2 linked regions of the Oreochromis niloticus genome follow. The protein of the gene in region 2 purifies or fractionates together with the protein of the main gene of each other region. This does not show direct contact. Links are inferred from orthologs where the notes say so. Each region holds a gene or a part of one and is shown on either strand. Other genes may lie near its edges.

The links. The genes of interacting proteins can lie anywhere in the genome.
Region 1: the proteins of plcg2 (region 2) and lyn purify together in Homo sapiens (affinity purification with western blotting; 3 studies listed by BioGRID, with this or other methods). This does not show direct contact. The link is inferred for Oreochromis niloticus from reciprocal best matches to the Homo sapiens genes PLCG2 and LYN.

The regions. Positions count from the first base shown.
Region 1 is NC_031982.2:5,597,894-5,605,484, forward strand, and holds the start of lyn (tyrosine-protein kinase Lyn), read left to right. Parts: upstream 1-4,569; 5' UTR 4,570-4,761; intron 4,762-7,591. UniProt on the Homo sapiens protein: Non-receptor tyrosine-protein kinase that transmits signals from cell surface receptors and plays an important role in the regulation of innate and adaptive immune responses, hematopoiesis, responses to growth factors and cytokines, integrin signaling, but also responses to DNA damage and genotoxic agents.
Region 2 is NC_031972.2:2,876,507-2,883,529, forward strand, and holds the start of plcg2 (1-phosphatidylinositol 4,5-bisphosphate phosphodiesterase gamma-2), read left to right. Parts: upstream 1-3,999; 5' UTR 4,000-4,314; intron 4,315-7,023. UniProt on the Homo sapiens protein: The production of the second messenger molecules diacylglycerol (DAG) and inositol 1,4,5-trisphosphate (IP3) is mediated by activated phosphatidylinositol-specific phospholipase C enzymes. It is a crucial enzyme in transmembrane signaling.

The sequences.
Region 1 (7,591 bases), on a different chromosome or scaffold from region 2:
TTGACTCCATGATTTTACACTGTGTTAACTGTATAGAATGCATTACTTGTATGAATGGCTCGTGATGGACTGGTGATTTGTTTGGGGTGTACCTGGCTCTCACCCCTGGGATTGAAATCAGAATTTAACTGTCTGGTCGCACAAAGTCCTGTATATAAATTCCACTCGGTTTTATTTATATAGGGCCAATTCACAACAAGGTAAAGATGCTACTGTACTAGGGAGAGAACCCTAATAATCAAACAATCCTCTATGAGCAAACACTTGGCGACAGTGGGAAGAAAGAAGTTCTTTTAAACAGGAAGAGACCTCTGGCAGAATCAGGTTCAGGGAGGAGCAGCCATCTACCATATAGGCAGGAGTTTGAGATGGTTATCAGAATAATTTTTATTTGGCTTAGTTTGTGCACATAAACAAGGAATTTGACTCTGGTTCACTTTAGTCTCTGTATACAAAAAAGGCTTTAAATAGGCAATAGATAAATAGGCATATATACACAAGGAGAATATACATATGAGGACATATTTAAAAAAGTAAGAAAAATAGAAGTTACAGAACATCTTAAGAACTTATACAAACTATAACAAATTTAACACCTTTCAAATTCAACGGAAAGCTGAAAAGTAATGCTGCCTTAACACATCTAAAGCCATGCACCATCCGGAAGAAGTCTGGAGGATCTGAAAAGGTAATGCTTAGTCTTCACTGTGAAAATGAGAGCCAAACTTCTGAGGTGGTCTGTACCAAATAGCAAACCATAATAGTGATCAGAGAAATGCTCCAAAAGGATACAACAACACACACAGTGAGGACGTCCAGTTTAAGGACTCAGAGCAGTGGACGTGTCCTAGCAGGCAGCGATCAGGTGCAGCTGCCTGTGTTGGGGCACAGTGCCCCTAACTCAGTTATGCAGGTGGATGAGTTATAAAATATGGGAAAACTACACATGGAGATCAAAGCTGTCTTTGAGTGTACTCACTTTTAGAGTCAACCTCATCTAGTGCCACCTGGAGGAACTGCAGTTTTTACCACTCCCTTGTTGGCTTCATTTTTCAGCTCTGGAGGGTGCTCCTTGCACCGACCTACACTAAAAACTTTAAAATCATTATTTTTGTACTTTAACTAACCCAAACAAAGGTAAAAATGAGCCCTGCTATACTTTCTACCACCAGGAGAAGTAATAATCTTTTGGTTATATAAAGAGGGTGAGGACAAATGAAGTGGTTGTTCCAGATGAAGAACACATCTAGCAGAAGAGATATAAGTTATTGCAAACAGTGGATGTTACTTTTTTTAAAAAAAGCAACAATTACACAGCTGATGGCATCCAGAAAGTTTTTAATGTGGTGTTCTAACCTGCTATTTTTTTTTCTGTAGATGGAGACGACACCGAGGACAGCCAGAGCTCCTCCTCTTCGGCTCAGAGGGAGGCGGAGCAGAGGAACAGCTAACCTGCAGCACACTCCAGCCCGCAGACGGAGATTTGCAGGATGGAGTGAGGCTCCCACCATGATGAACCTGTTTGTCCAAAGTGGGCTGGTGGCTGGAGGGTAGTACCGTCACTGCTGATATGCCTTCAAGCAGGGCACAGTCTTCCAAATTCAACTGGAGAAGTGCTGTAATGTGAACACCCAGCGTGGCTCTGCTGTGCACTAGAATAACAGATTGATTGCAGGGTGCTTTTCAGAATCGGGGGTAAGCAGAGAGGCCAATTTGTAGCTCTTGTAAAGCTAATTTTATTTTCAGTCTTAGTTACTAAACACTATAGGTTGGGGGACTGAAATAAAGGAAGAAAATAGACGAGGCTCCTTTGTGAGTTTTGTAGTAGTTGAAGCAATTTGTAAGACCACTGACATGTGCTGAAGTAATGGCTCACAGTGGGAGTAGCATGTCTGTAGAAGTAGTGGTGCTGATAGATTGTACTGCCAGTTAATGGCTTTATGCTAACGCTAAGTTGATAATACTGCAGAGGAAAATGGATTGGGCTGAAGTAAACCTGAGAGGACAATGCTGCGGTTTGACTTCTTGTTTATATGCTGAAGAGTGTGTTCACTGTTCTGTACTGTAGAAAGTGGCAGGATGCAACGGAGCAGTAGCCTTGTGGTCTGTTGACACCAATATTACTTAATATTGCACTTTCACTCAGTTTAAATGTCAGTCGCTCAGTGATTAAAGATTGATGTACATGTTTAAAAAAATGTTTATACCTTTTTTTTAAAACCCTTTTCTAACAATTTCATTATCACAACCTTTGAGGAATGGTTTGACATTTTTGTAAATGCATTTCTTTACTTTCTTGCTAATGAAATGATAAAATGTCTATGTGCTATATAATGCATGTAGCTAGAGTTTGTCTTAATAGCCACCAGGGGGCGATAGATGTGGTTGCAAGATCTCAATCCTATGTCTCTGGGTTGTGTTGTTCGTACATGATAATAATATTGTTGGTCCAGGATTAACATAGCAACTGAGCATTCAGTTAGCACTAGCCAAGAAGCTAGTGAATGCTATTAAAAACTGTCACTAGTAAACCAGCACGAGTCATTTGGCAACAGCAAACCTAACTTGATAATACATTTATTATATGGTATTAAATAATAAGGAAAGGACTTGAAAATTTTACCATTTGATCCAAAAGTTGTTGTTTTTTTTCTTGATGTTGTAAAGCTATGACATCACAAGAACATGACTGGTCAGTTGCAATGTTGATCCTAGATGATGCAGGAACAACACCGACACGAGGTTATGGGATACCCCTGTTCCAAGACGATTTCTAGTTCTATTGAAGTCTAAGGGAAAATGACCCCCAGACATGGCCTCTAAAAACTTTCCTGCTGTCTTTATGGGCTCAGCCCCTCATATCAGATCATACCAGATAAAACACTCAGTCAGTTTTGTAAATTATGGTCATTTTAAGTCTCGGAAGGATTATTAGGATCTACTCATTGACTAATAACTTGTTAATCACAAGTTGTTAACCACTGAGTGTTTGCGTTCACATTGACATCCAATCCTCTCTCCTAACCTCCAGTTTCAAAAGACCAAGACGGTGATGACAGAAATGCTCAAAGTAGGAATTCAGACACATATGGGTGATGTTGTCCGGTCTATGGTTAGCGCTGAGGTGGCCTGCAGATGGACATATTAACTAATATGAAGTAAACAAATGAATAAGATAACAGAAACATCCTTACAGGTTACAATTAAAAGATTAGCATTAGAAAAAATCCACCCAAATCTTGCACCTTTACACAGGTCACTGATAAAACCTGTTGCATTTGAATCACATTAAAATATAGTATGTAATATTTCATTTGACATTGATGAGCTGTTTTGTCACATAGTGTTGCTTGGATCAGAGCTGTTGGCTTCACATTATAATACACTGGCCCCGCATTACCTTCACTTTTCAGCGTGCAGGGGGATGAGAGGTGACGTGACCTCCAGGGAGTGCGTAACCAACACTATGAGATAATTAAGGATTCTAAAAATCATAAATCTTGCAACACTCTAGTGTACTAGTGAGCTGCAAATTAGCATAATAGACACTCTTTATACTTGACAGCTAAGCTAATTATTTGCAGGCTCCAGCTACATTGTTAAGAGATTGATCTTCTCATCTGTCATCAGTTAACTAAGAAAATGCATTGCCCAAAATGTCAAACTGTTCCTTAAATGTAGATATGCAATACTCCGTGGAGCTTCCAGGATTTATAACATTGTTTGTTTTCTCTGACACTGAGCCTGAGCTATGTTCCTGCTACTGTGTGTAATAGCTAGCTGACGTTATCATCTGTACAGACCACCACGCATGCACAAAACTCTGTGTTCTGTCATTTTCTTCACCATTTTTGCTAACTATAACCTTCCTGTAATCCTCCAGCTTGACAGTAAGTCGATCATACTAAAGATAATGTAGCTATAACTGTTTATTTTGTAATCCTCACTCAATCAGCTGTTCAGGTTGTAAACTGCCATGTAACTGTTTCGGGGCTCACTCTGGTCTGTTCAGCATGTTGGATTTTGGCAGGTGCATGATTCTGTGAAATTTGTAGCTGTTTGTCTGAATGTGCATAACCGTATTTTCTACTCTCCATGTCAAACAAAGTGAAATAAACTGGACAAGAGGAAAAATGCAAGTCTTCTGTGCTGCTGTACGCCTGCGGTTTGACCAGCAGGTAGCACTGTGAGAGAATTTATGAAACGTGCATTAGACTTCAACTGTGAACAGTTGATAGAAAGTGTATAGAATGATTTATTTAATTTTTTTTTTTTTAAAGGACATGAGACGAAAATAAAATATGTTTATTTTTTTTGTTTTTGTTTTTTAAGAGGATTACATTAAAGGGACTCTATGACACACTGGAAAATTCTCCTCCACTTCAGGTTAAACAAGTATAGTATTTCCATATGTGTAGCGCTGAAAAACCATCTGTCTGCTGTGTCTCTCAGTCTCTTTCACTCTGTGTGTGTGTGTGTGTGTGCGCGCGCGCGCGCAGTGCTGATTATGCAAATAATCATTAGACAATTGTACCAGGAAGTTTCACTAAGAAAGAAAAATCCCCAACCAGTTCCTCATTCACTCATTGGTATAACAGTCCAGGTCGGCCAGCTGACCCACTTGTCAAACCACCTCAACACCAGCGCACTGCGTGTGTCACCCACTTCCATGTCAAGCACAGAGAGGACGTAGCTGAGGAGTGAAACGGTTCTACATTTTGGATTAACCGTTTTCTTAACCTGGGATACAGATTGAGAGAGGTAAGCTGTAACGTATACTGAGTCCAAGTGACATCAGGCAGACGCATGCTTGATTTACACAGACGCATTAGGAGAGGTAAAAGTGTATGTAACTTTTTTTATTAGTAGGAAAAAGGTAAATGTAAGAAGTTTTATTAAATTTAATTATTTTTTGTTTGTTTGTTCTGTGTTTTTGGGGATGCTTTATTAATTAATAAAGCATCCACATGACTGTGCTTAATTAAGCACTGTCATAACTCACATGAAGTATAATTAGTTTAAGGAAAGTTCTCTACAGTGCAACATGTTTAAAATCAATGCTTTATTTTCTATTATAAAAGTTTTATTCGTATGGTTTCATGTATGGTATAGCGACGGATTAAACATTAAAATTCACTGCATTTATTCACGTATCCAGTCTTTTCCTCAGTCTATTGCAAAAGGAGGAAGTGTGTGTGTCATAGTCCAATATATCGTGCGTGTGTGCCCCTAAGCCGTTCAGACCCCTAGTTTCCGGCTGTTTGCTGACAAGTTAAAAATATAACAGAGGCACTGAACCAACAAAGTGCAAAACAAGCCTGTGCAAACCTGCCAAACCGCTGGCTAATGGACTCATTCACTGACCTTTTTCTACCAAGAAAAATATGGTTTCGCCTTTTTCCTTACATTTACTCCCTGCCATCTCAGTTCACAAATGTGTTGTAGGCTGGTTTTCAGGTGTGCTTGTTTTCTATTTGCATTAGGTTAATGCTGTGTTTCCCCCCTAACTCTTAGTCAAACAACTCAATTCAGGCCAGCTAGGTCCAGCAACTTTATTCTGCACTCAGCCCTTCCACATAAATATAAGATATTAACCATTTTTAACATTATATGGTAGGATAGCTGTGTTATCGGCAGCCTAGAAGCAACAGAAGTAAATGCTTTTAGCATGCATAAAGCTAGGTTTTGGTGTTGCTAAAGAAGTACTCTAGTTTCAGATCAACAGTCATTCGTGTTCCCCTCCAGGTGAACCCTGTTGTTGGGATTTGTCATATTCTTTCCCTAACATGTATTACTTTACTATTACTGATAGTAATGTTATCAAGTCAAAATTTCCTTTAAGCTGTTTGGCTTGGTTGAAAACCTAATATGCCTCAATATAATAACCTAATAATATTTCTGCCAGCCTAAGCAGTGCTTTCTCCAATTAGCATACCGTACATTAGCATGCTACCATATGCTAAAGGTGGCTAAAAATCAACATGTTAGCGCCAGCATGTAGAGCATATTAGCTAGCACTAAAAAAAAAACAAAAAAAACAACCCACGCTAATTCGTTTTTTGTGGGGGTTTTCTTTTTTGTTTTGCCCTGTTTTATTTTCTGACTGTCCTGACACAATTCACCAAAGAATATGTCATCTCCTTAGAACTTCTGTTCTAGCTGTTTGAAAAATTTAAAAGGCTATTTGCTGACCTACAGGACTAGTTGAACATGTTCCCTTTTTCTCTGCGGTTCAGCTGCGCACTTTAGTTTCCTGGAGAACGACATAAACTTTTTATTTATTTATTTTTCCGTTGTACTTTGAATAACAGGTGTTAAAAACCAACGTGCCCTTCTGCTCTACAGCAACATGCTTTGTTCTTTTTTTCCCCTTTTTTTCCCTGTAGGGAAGCACTCAAGTTTATTTGACCTGGTTTAATTTTAGTGCTTTATGTTTTTGTGCTTTTAAGCCACATTGCTTGACAATGTAAGTGTAAAAGGTTTTAAAGGTGGTGTTTCGCACTCATAGGATGTTTAGTTTTAATTGTCCTCACTGTTGAGAGCATCTTGTCCTCATAGACTCTTATATAAAAATCCTTTTTATGTTCACACATTACCTTTGTAAAATATTTTCATTGTTAAAATCAAGGTACAAATGTCACTTTGTTTGTCCTTAAAACTACAATATAGGAGATACATACTTTTAATGTTTTTGACTTTTATACATTTTAAAACTTATAACACCTCTCTCTTATAAAACCCAACATCACCAGTTAAAAGGTTGTTGGGTTTCTTTCTTTGTGACTTTGTCATCTTTGTGGGCATGCGGTCAGTATGTGTGCATGTAGAATGCAAGTACACATTGGTGGTGGTGGGCTTCATGCTGGTTAGCAGACAGCCACCCACACAAAAGTCAAAATAAGAAAAAACAATGCAGCAAACACGTACATGTTTGATTTCCCTGAACAGAAACCAGCATTGGATAAATTGCAACCATGTCAGAATACAGGGAAGTAGCAGTGACATTGCGACATATTTTTTTCTAAAGTACTACTTTGAGACATTCCCATTCTTATCGAATCTTTGTTGAGTTACAGCAGTAACACCCAGATCTGGCACAAAACGTAGAATTTTTCACCTGAAATATTAGAGTTTGTGTGAGAAGTGCCATGGCTAATGACATTTAGACTACCAGAAACGTTGGTTACCATGGTGTTGCTGAAAGTTAGATCAAAAGACTGTTACTAGTTGTAATCTTGTTAAATATAAAGCTGAATCCAGTAAGTCATTAGTCTACCTTAGCATAAGGTATAATAAGCAAAATGGTGAAAGAGCTAGCTTGTCTCTGCCAGAAGCCTGAAGCTTGCATTCAAAGCTCACAAATGAAGATATGCTTATATCATAGAAAATGACATGACTGTATGTATTTTAAACCCACTCAGGTCTGATATAAATGATACAAAGCGTGTGCTCAGTCCAGAACCTGTGCATGTAAAACCTCATCAGGTCTTGTAAGATGCTAACGCTATGGATATAGAGGCAGAAGTAGCAGAATGTCTCATTCAAGTCTATTTTGGCTACACTGCATCATCAAATCCTCCCTCTGGCTGCT
Region 2 (7,023 bases):
GATTTTAATATTATATTCCCAGAAATATAAACGTAATCTGGGATCATCTTGTATTTTACACTCTTCTGAATATTTTCTCCAATTTGTGGCATTAAAATGTCCTTGTAGGGTCTGTAAAATAATAGACGGTGTCGTCATATTTTCTAAAATATTCATCTTTGTAGCTTTTTCTTCTTGTTTCTGGCAGAGCAGGGTTTTTATTTTCTTCATCCTGATCTGCACACATGCTGACTTTTCTATAGTTCTGATGTCAACCAGTAAACCTCAAACTTAATTTGCTAACAAAGGACATATTACATTTACTGTTTTATTCAGTTAAAAGGAAATCCAGGCCTAAATAATCATTCTTTGCTCAGAAGAGACAGCGGGAAATTTCCTCTCTGAAAATAGGCCGACTATAAATTCAGAGTAAAGGAAATGAGGTTGTGTTGCCTTTTTTAAAAAGATATTTATAAAAAAACATTGGATGAACAAATGCTTCCAGTATGTTTCAGCAATTGAAAATACTCACGATCTTTCTTTGGAGTTTGGACCTATGACTAACGCAGGTGAAACAAATGCCTACGACATCTTGGGTTTATAATAATTTTTCACTCATATCTGGTGAGCAGCCACTTTGTCAGATACACCTGTTCAACTGCTTTTTAAGATGAATAATAATCAGCCAATCACATCGCAGCAACTCAGGCATGCTGACATGGTCAAGGTGACCAAAATGTGGCATGAGTGTTGGTGCCAGATTTTCCCTCACACCCATCTTTTATAGAGGAGGTTCATAGAGAATCATCTGAAGAAGATAAAAACATCCAGTGAGCGGGTGTAAACACCTCGTTGATGCCAGATGTATGAGGAGAATGCTTTGAGCTGACTGGAAGGCAAAAATAACACCAATAAAGATTCATTACAACCAAGATGTGCAGAAGAGCATCTCTGAATGCACAAGACACAGCAGCAGAAGACCACACTGAGAAACCGAGACTCCATCTCTTTATTACGACCGTGTCTTCTGATGGCTGCTTCCAGCAGCATGACATACCGCGTCACAGTGCTCAGCTATCTCAAACACAACATTGGGTTCACTGAACTCAGATCAGTCCAGCAGAAAACCTGGGATGTTTTGAAATGGGAGATTTCCATTATGTGTGTCCAGCTGACAAATCTGCCGCAACTGTGTGACGCTAACATGGCAACATGGACCCAAATCTGTGTTTCCAACACCAGCCCAGCATGTGGCCAGCGTGTATATAAGATGTTTAAAGCAAGAAATGAAAAACCGAATGTACTTTCGCTTTAGTAGGATCTGATGTAGGATCTGTACAGCATTACAGGGGGGTTAGATAAAGAGTAAGATCTGTGGTCTGTAGCTGCAGAAACACAAAAAATGATATTTCATGACGATAAAGAAAAAAAATGTCTGGGCCTGCTTTGGATTTCACAATCAGACAGTTGTGGCTGGATTCTGCTTTTATTTTAATTACATGTAATTTTCTTTGTATGCCATGTTTGAGTTACAAAAAACAGGCCAGAAATAGTAACTGTATTTAGCTAAGGAAACTGTAGTTTTGTACTCCAAACATATATGTACAATATAAACAGCACGTATACTACAAGCATGACGAGTTAGTTGTGCTCTGCTCACCTTTCTTGTGAGCAGCTTGCTTTCTCCTCCCCCCCACTCCCTTTTTTCTCTTTTAATACCCTGAATTCACTTTCTTGGCTACAGACATGACTCAGAGTTCACATTAGTACTCACATTGATGGAAAGACTTAGCTGTGCTATGTTGGTGAGTCTGAGATGTTTGAAGGGGCGGGTGCTCAAAGTTAAAAAGAGGCACATAGAAACAGGCTGAATAACAACAAGCCACATTCATCAGGAATCTAATATGGAATGGCATCATACTATACAGAATATTGTCACTGTACACATGTACAGTGGGATACAGCGCATCTCCTACTCAGTGCAGACATTTGGGAAAAGAAAGGGGAGGTGCACAGTTCTGCAGCACTATATAAATAAATAAATAAATAGTGTTATATCTTTACAGTGTGAGTTACTGCACGTAAAATTAAGTGTTGCACAGTGGTGATGGTAGTTTGTAGTCTGTGTATAGAGGGAAGTCCTTGGAGTGGGGCTGGAACTGTGTTGTCAGTGCATGTGTAAGTTCAGGGTTGTTATGGAAGAAACTATTTTTGAGTCTGTCTGTCTTTGTGCTGATGCACCTGTCGCGCTTCCTGAGGGGAGCAGGTTGGACATGTAAAGGCAGCGGGAGGAATAAATGTCCATCGGGGAGGGGAGAGGGCAGCTGATGATCTTCTGTGCTGTCTTGACTACACTCTGAAGTCTTGCTCTGTCCTCCTTAGTGCAGCTGCCGTACCATACTGTGATGCAGTATGTCGGCAGACTCTCAATGGATGAGCGGTAGAAGGTGAGCAGCAGATTGGAGTCCAGTTTGTGCTTCCTGAGGACTCTCAGACTCTCAGACTCTGGGCCTTCTTGGCGACTGTTGTGATGTTGTCTGTACAGGAGATGCCAGCGGAGATGAGGACACCGAGGAACCAGAGGGTGTGGACCCTCTCCACATGCTCCCTGTTGATGTACAGGGGATCTAAGTCAGTGCTGTGCCTCCTGAAGTCAGCAATGACCTCTTTGGTTGTCTTGGTGTTCAGTGCCAGGTTGTTCTCTGAACACCATGCTGCCAATAATTACCGGTGTGAAGGCCACAGGGTGCTAATTGTTCAGGCTGGTGATGGGAGACTTCTTCGGCACTGGGATGATTGTGGCTGAGTTTAGACAGGGTGGGATGGCTGCCTGATATAGGGAGAGGTTGAAGATGAGGGTGAAGATGAGGGTGAGCTGGTGGGCACATGCTCTTAGCACCTACTCTGTCACTGTCGTCAGGTGGGGACAAAGCAAACTTAGCCTATGTTTTACCTGATAGGTACAATGTTGCTGTTGAAGGGTTGCTGCTATTCCCGTGTGTGTGTGTGTGTGTGTGTGTGTGTGTGTGTGTGTTAAAAAAAAAGTCATTAACATGAAATAATGCCTTTATAATGATTGCGCTTGTTTGACTATCCACTCTATGCAGGCAGAAGCTTATTTAATGTTTAAACTGCAGAGAAAGAATAATTTTGCTGCTGTAAAATCAGCATTTTTCACATTTGAAATATAAATAAAAAATAATCTGTTTCTTAATGTATTTTCTTTAAAACACTGTTTAAAAAAATATTGTAGTTATAGTAATGTGTGTGGATATGCATATTAGATAGTTTAGGTGAAATATAAGCCCTCCACAAAGGAGGGTAAGCCCCGTAACTTCCTTTAAAACTAAATATGTTCCCTATAACAGTGGACAGAGCTACAGACCCGTGGCACTCTTACCCAGTTAGCTAGCAAGTAATGACCAGACTACTTGTGCATTAAATAAAAGGAGGGGTAATGTTTGCCGCACTGTTGCACACACAGCACGCTCATTTGTTTCAGACAACTTACCAACGTGTACATAATAACCTAATACTCCTGTGTGCTATAGACTATAGTGTACACCCTACAGTCCCAAAAAAAATATCCAGACAATTGAAATATGATTCGAATTTTCTAGCAAACTAAAACAAAGGCTTGCTAGATTCCTTCCTGCCATTACAGCCCTCGTAACCCCCTACTGTTCTTCCCATTATGATGCCCCCCCCCCCAACTTCCATCACTACTCCTTCAATACAGTCCCCATCTTTTTGGAGATGACTCTCCCGGTGTCCACAGTCTGTCCACAGTTCACATCATAAATCTGTGAATTTTTAAACAGTTTCCACTTTGTTTGTTTTTGTATTTATTCTGATATAATTAATCCCCCCCAACCCCCTGTTGTGCCACCCGTTAATAAAAAACCTGGCAACGCCCCTGTTAGTTGACACTTGTCGGTCAAACAGCTGTGCGCGTGTTTACATGAGCGCGCGAGACTGTGAGAAGACTCACACACAGTGAAACATGTTATAAACGACCTTTTACGACTTTTATGTGAAAACACAAGCCTAAGCATCAGAAGCGCTCATTCTGCAGCTCACTGCCCTCTCGTACTTTGCATAGATACCGTCCTTGCTTCCGGACTTTTTTTTATAACTTGCGGGCTATAATGCAAGTTAACTTTTACTTCCTTGTACACACACGCGGATAGAGGAACTGGCCGTTTTGCGAGTGGCCTTTTTGTCAGCGCTCTACATCCTCTCCTGTTTCACTTTAAAACTTTCCAATCATGATTAGATAGAAGACAAACGAGCGGCGACTTTGGGGAGCTGTAAGGAATCGATTTCACTCACAAGGTAAGCCGGACACTTTACTTTTCTTTATTTTTTTCCTTCTTTTCTGTTTTTGGTGTCAGTTTTCTGGCGGCCGAGGTGTGACACAGTTCAGCTGGCTGAGGGGAAATCCGCTTTTTGCTGGCGGCAGCAGCAGCAGTGTGTGCGGGGCTGCAGAGGATGTGTCTGACCAGGCGGCTCAGCGTGCAGGCAGCTCCGTGTCAGAGCGGGACCGGTACCTCCGAAAGCCTTCACGCACGGCGCACTTTACATTTCTTCTTTGGGGAACTCGTTTTGAGGTGAACCGTTGGGCCCACGTGGAACAGTTTCACCCGTATTTAATTCCAGTCCTTCAAACTTCACTGTGTTGGTCAGGATATTAGACACTGGGCCCTCTGCGCCTTTAGTGTGGGGCTTTGTGTAGCTGTTGTGCCATTTTATTGTAGTTTTGCGCCACTTTTGTGAGACCTTTTCTTTCCCATAAAAGTTGTTTTTGTGTGATGTTGCATTTCCTTGTTGTTGCTTCTTCTTCTGCCTTGTTTGGGGTCATTTGTGTGCTTTTTGTCTTTGTTGGTCATTTTGCGTCAGTTTCACTGCTGGAAGGTATTGAATATTAAGAGGTCACAGATTACTAGTTGCTCTGCTAAAAATGTAATGCATGAATAACTGTAAAGAGATGATCTAATAATGTGGTTGTATTTTCAGCAAATTTTAAGTGACTGCAAGCAGCAGACCTGATTTAAATCAGGGTGTGCACTTATTTTAGTTCATGTCCACATAACGACTAAATGTGATCTCAAGTGTGCCAGACCATTAAAATCATAGCACCATAACCCGTAATGTCAATGTCTTTAAGTAAAGCACATTATGAAAACAATACGTCCTTAAAAAACTGTCAAACAAGCAAAGATATTATTGTTTTTTCTCCTCAAGTGAGCAATCCATCTATAAAACAGGAGTAATAGCATATATGTTTCCCACATTCAGTGACTCTGCTGTCTTTGGATCTCAGTGGAAAGGCACAAAGCTTGACATCTTCACGATTTAAACAACTAATTCAAAGTTCAGGTCTGTTCATGCCTGTGTGGTAAAACTGGCATCACCACACCAGCGGTAGTGTGCTTTTTCTTTTCTGAAAAGGTCTTTGGCACAGGATTGTGTTTTTTATGTTAGATGTTTCCTCAGCAGCACGTTCACTGCTGCTAAACAAGTTTTATTCTATTTAGAGCTGATTTCTGATTCTAAATGGAAAAAACTGTTGAATTTCCAGCTGTGCAAGGCACTCTTGTCAGACAACATGGCCCCTGCTTGGTATGGTTGGCTGATCACAGGCATGGACGACTGAACTTGCTAAGAGCATCACTGAGGCGGTGCGAATTCAAACCAGACAACTGTTCAGAATCAGTGCTCAAACTTTTACTGGCAAACCGTTGGGGTCTGTAGATGCAGAGGGAGCTCCTTACAAAGACTGTTTTGGAGATCTTTGGCTACGTGGAGTGAAGGATTACAGGAATTCAACCAGCACGCAAGCTGTGAAAAATACTTGCACACACTCTTCCAAAAAGCCAACGCAGCATTGCCTTCGTTTAACGCTGATTGGTTGAAAAGGTTAAACAGGAAAGGGAACGACCATAGAAGACTTTACCACAATGATAAAAAAGCACAAAAAACAACAAAGATCAAAGAGACATGGTTAGAAGCAGAGACGGTGGACAGTTTCCACTGTTTTTAGTTTCACAACACCACCAAGGTCTCTGTATGTCGTGACATTTATCTTCTCTGTGGCAGGGATGAAACTGAAGGACCAACAAGTGCACAGCAAGAACACGAGTTTCTCACGTTAGTGGCTGTCCTGCAGATCTTTATCTCTGCCACTTTGGCTATTGTCCACAGCGACAAGACGTAGACGAATTTCTATAAATCTCTACCTATCATGCGTGCACCAGTAGTGCTGGGACCTTATGCCCAAATGTCCACCAATCTTGTCCAGAGTTATGCAAAAGATGCCTTTCCTGCATGGGAAAAGACCAAAAACAAACAAAGAACACAATAAACCCAGAATGTGAGTTATACTGATGCCATATCAAACCATCCACCTGTCCACAACTCACAGAATCGTTAACTATCCTACAGTATGGGTCAGAACTGAATGAAGTTTACAGTCAGTGTGCATGTAATGGGTCTAACACAAGGTCACCGGTTTGTCTCTGTCATTCTCTCACACCAAACCAAGAAAACGCATCACTTTCTGTTTGTGCTTCACACACGGATCGTGAGCCAGATGAGCAGCTACATCAAGATTTCCCTTTATAATCACCAACGTTTGTATGAGGAGCTGTAATTTAATGACACATTTTCTTAGCGACTGAAGTTTCATCCGTTGTGTTGACTGCAGAGGTGGAGTATATCACAGACAGGGCGCTGACTTCATCGCAGGTTCGCAGTTAAATTTATTCAGGAATATCTGAACATAATTTTCTCTTCAGTTTGCATCTTGATCATCGTCTTGTGTCTCAAATTGTTTCTCAATTTCCTGGTTCTTTTTCTTCCTCAGTGATGATCAGTTTGAGTTCATACTGTGTCTGTTTTGTTTTGTTGTGTATCGCTTTAATTATTGTGTCCATCTACGGTCATTCGGTGTCTCCTTGGGAGTCATTTTGCATCTCTGTTTCTTTTTGTGCATCATTTGTCATTTTGTGTCTCTTGCTTTTCTCATTTTAAGTCCTTTTTGCC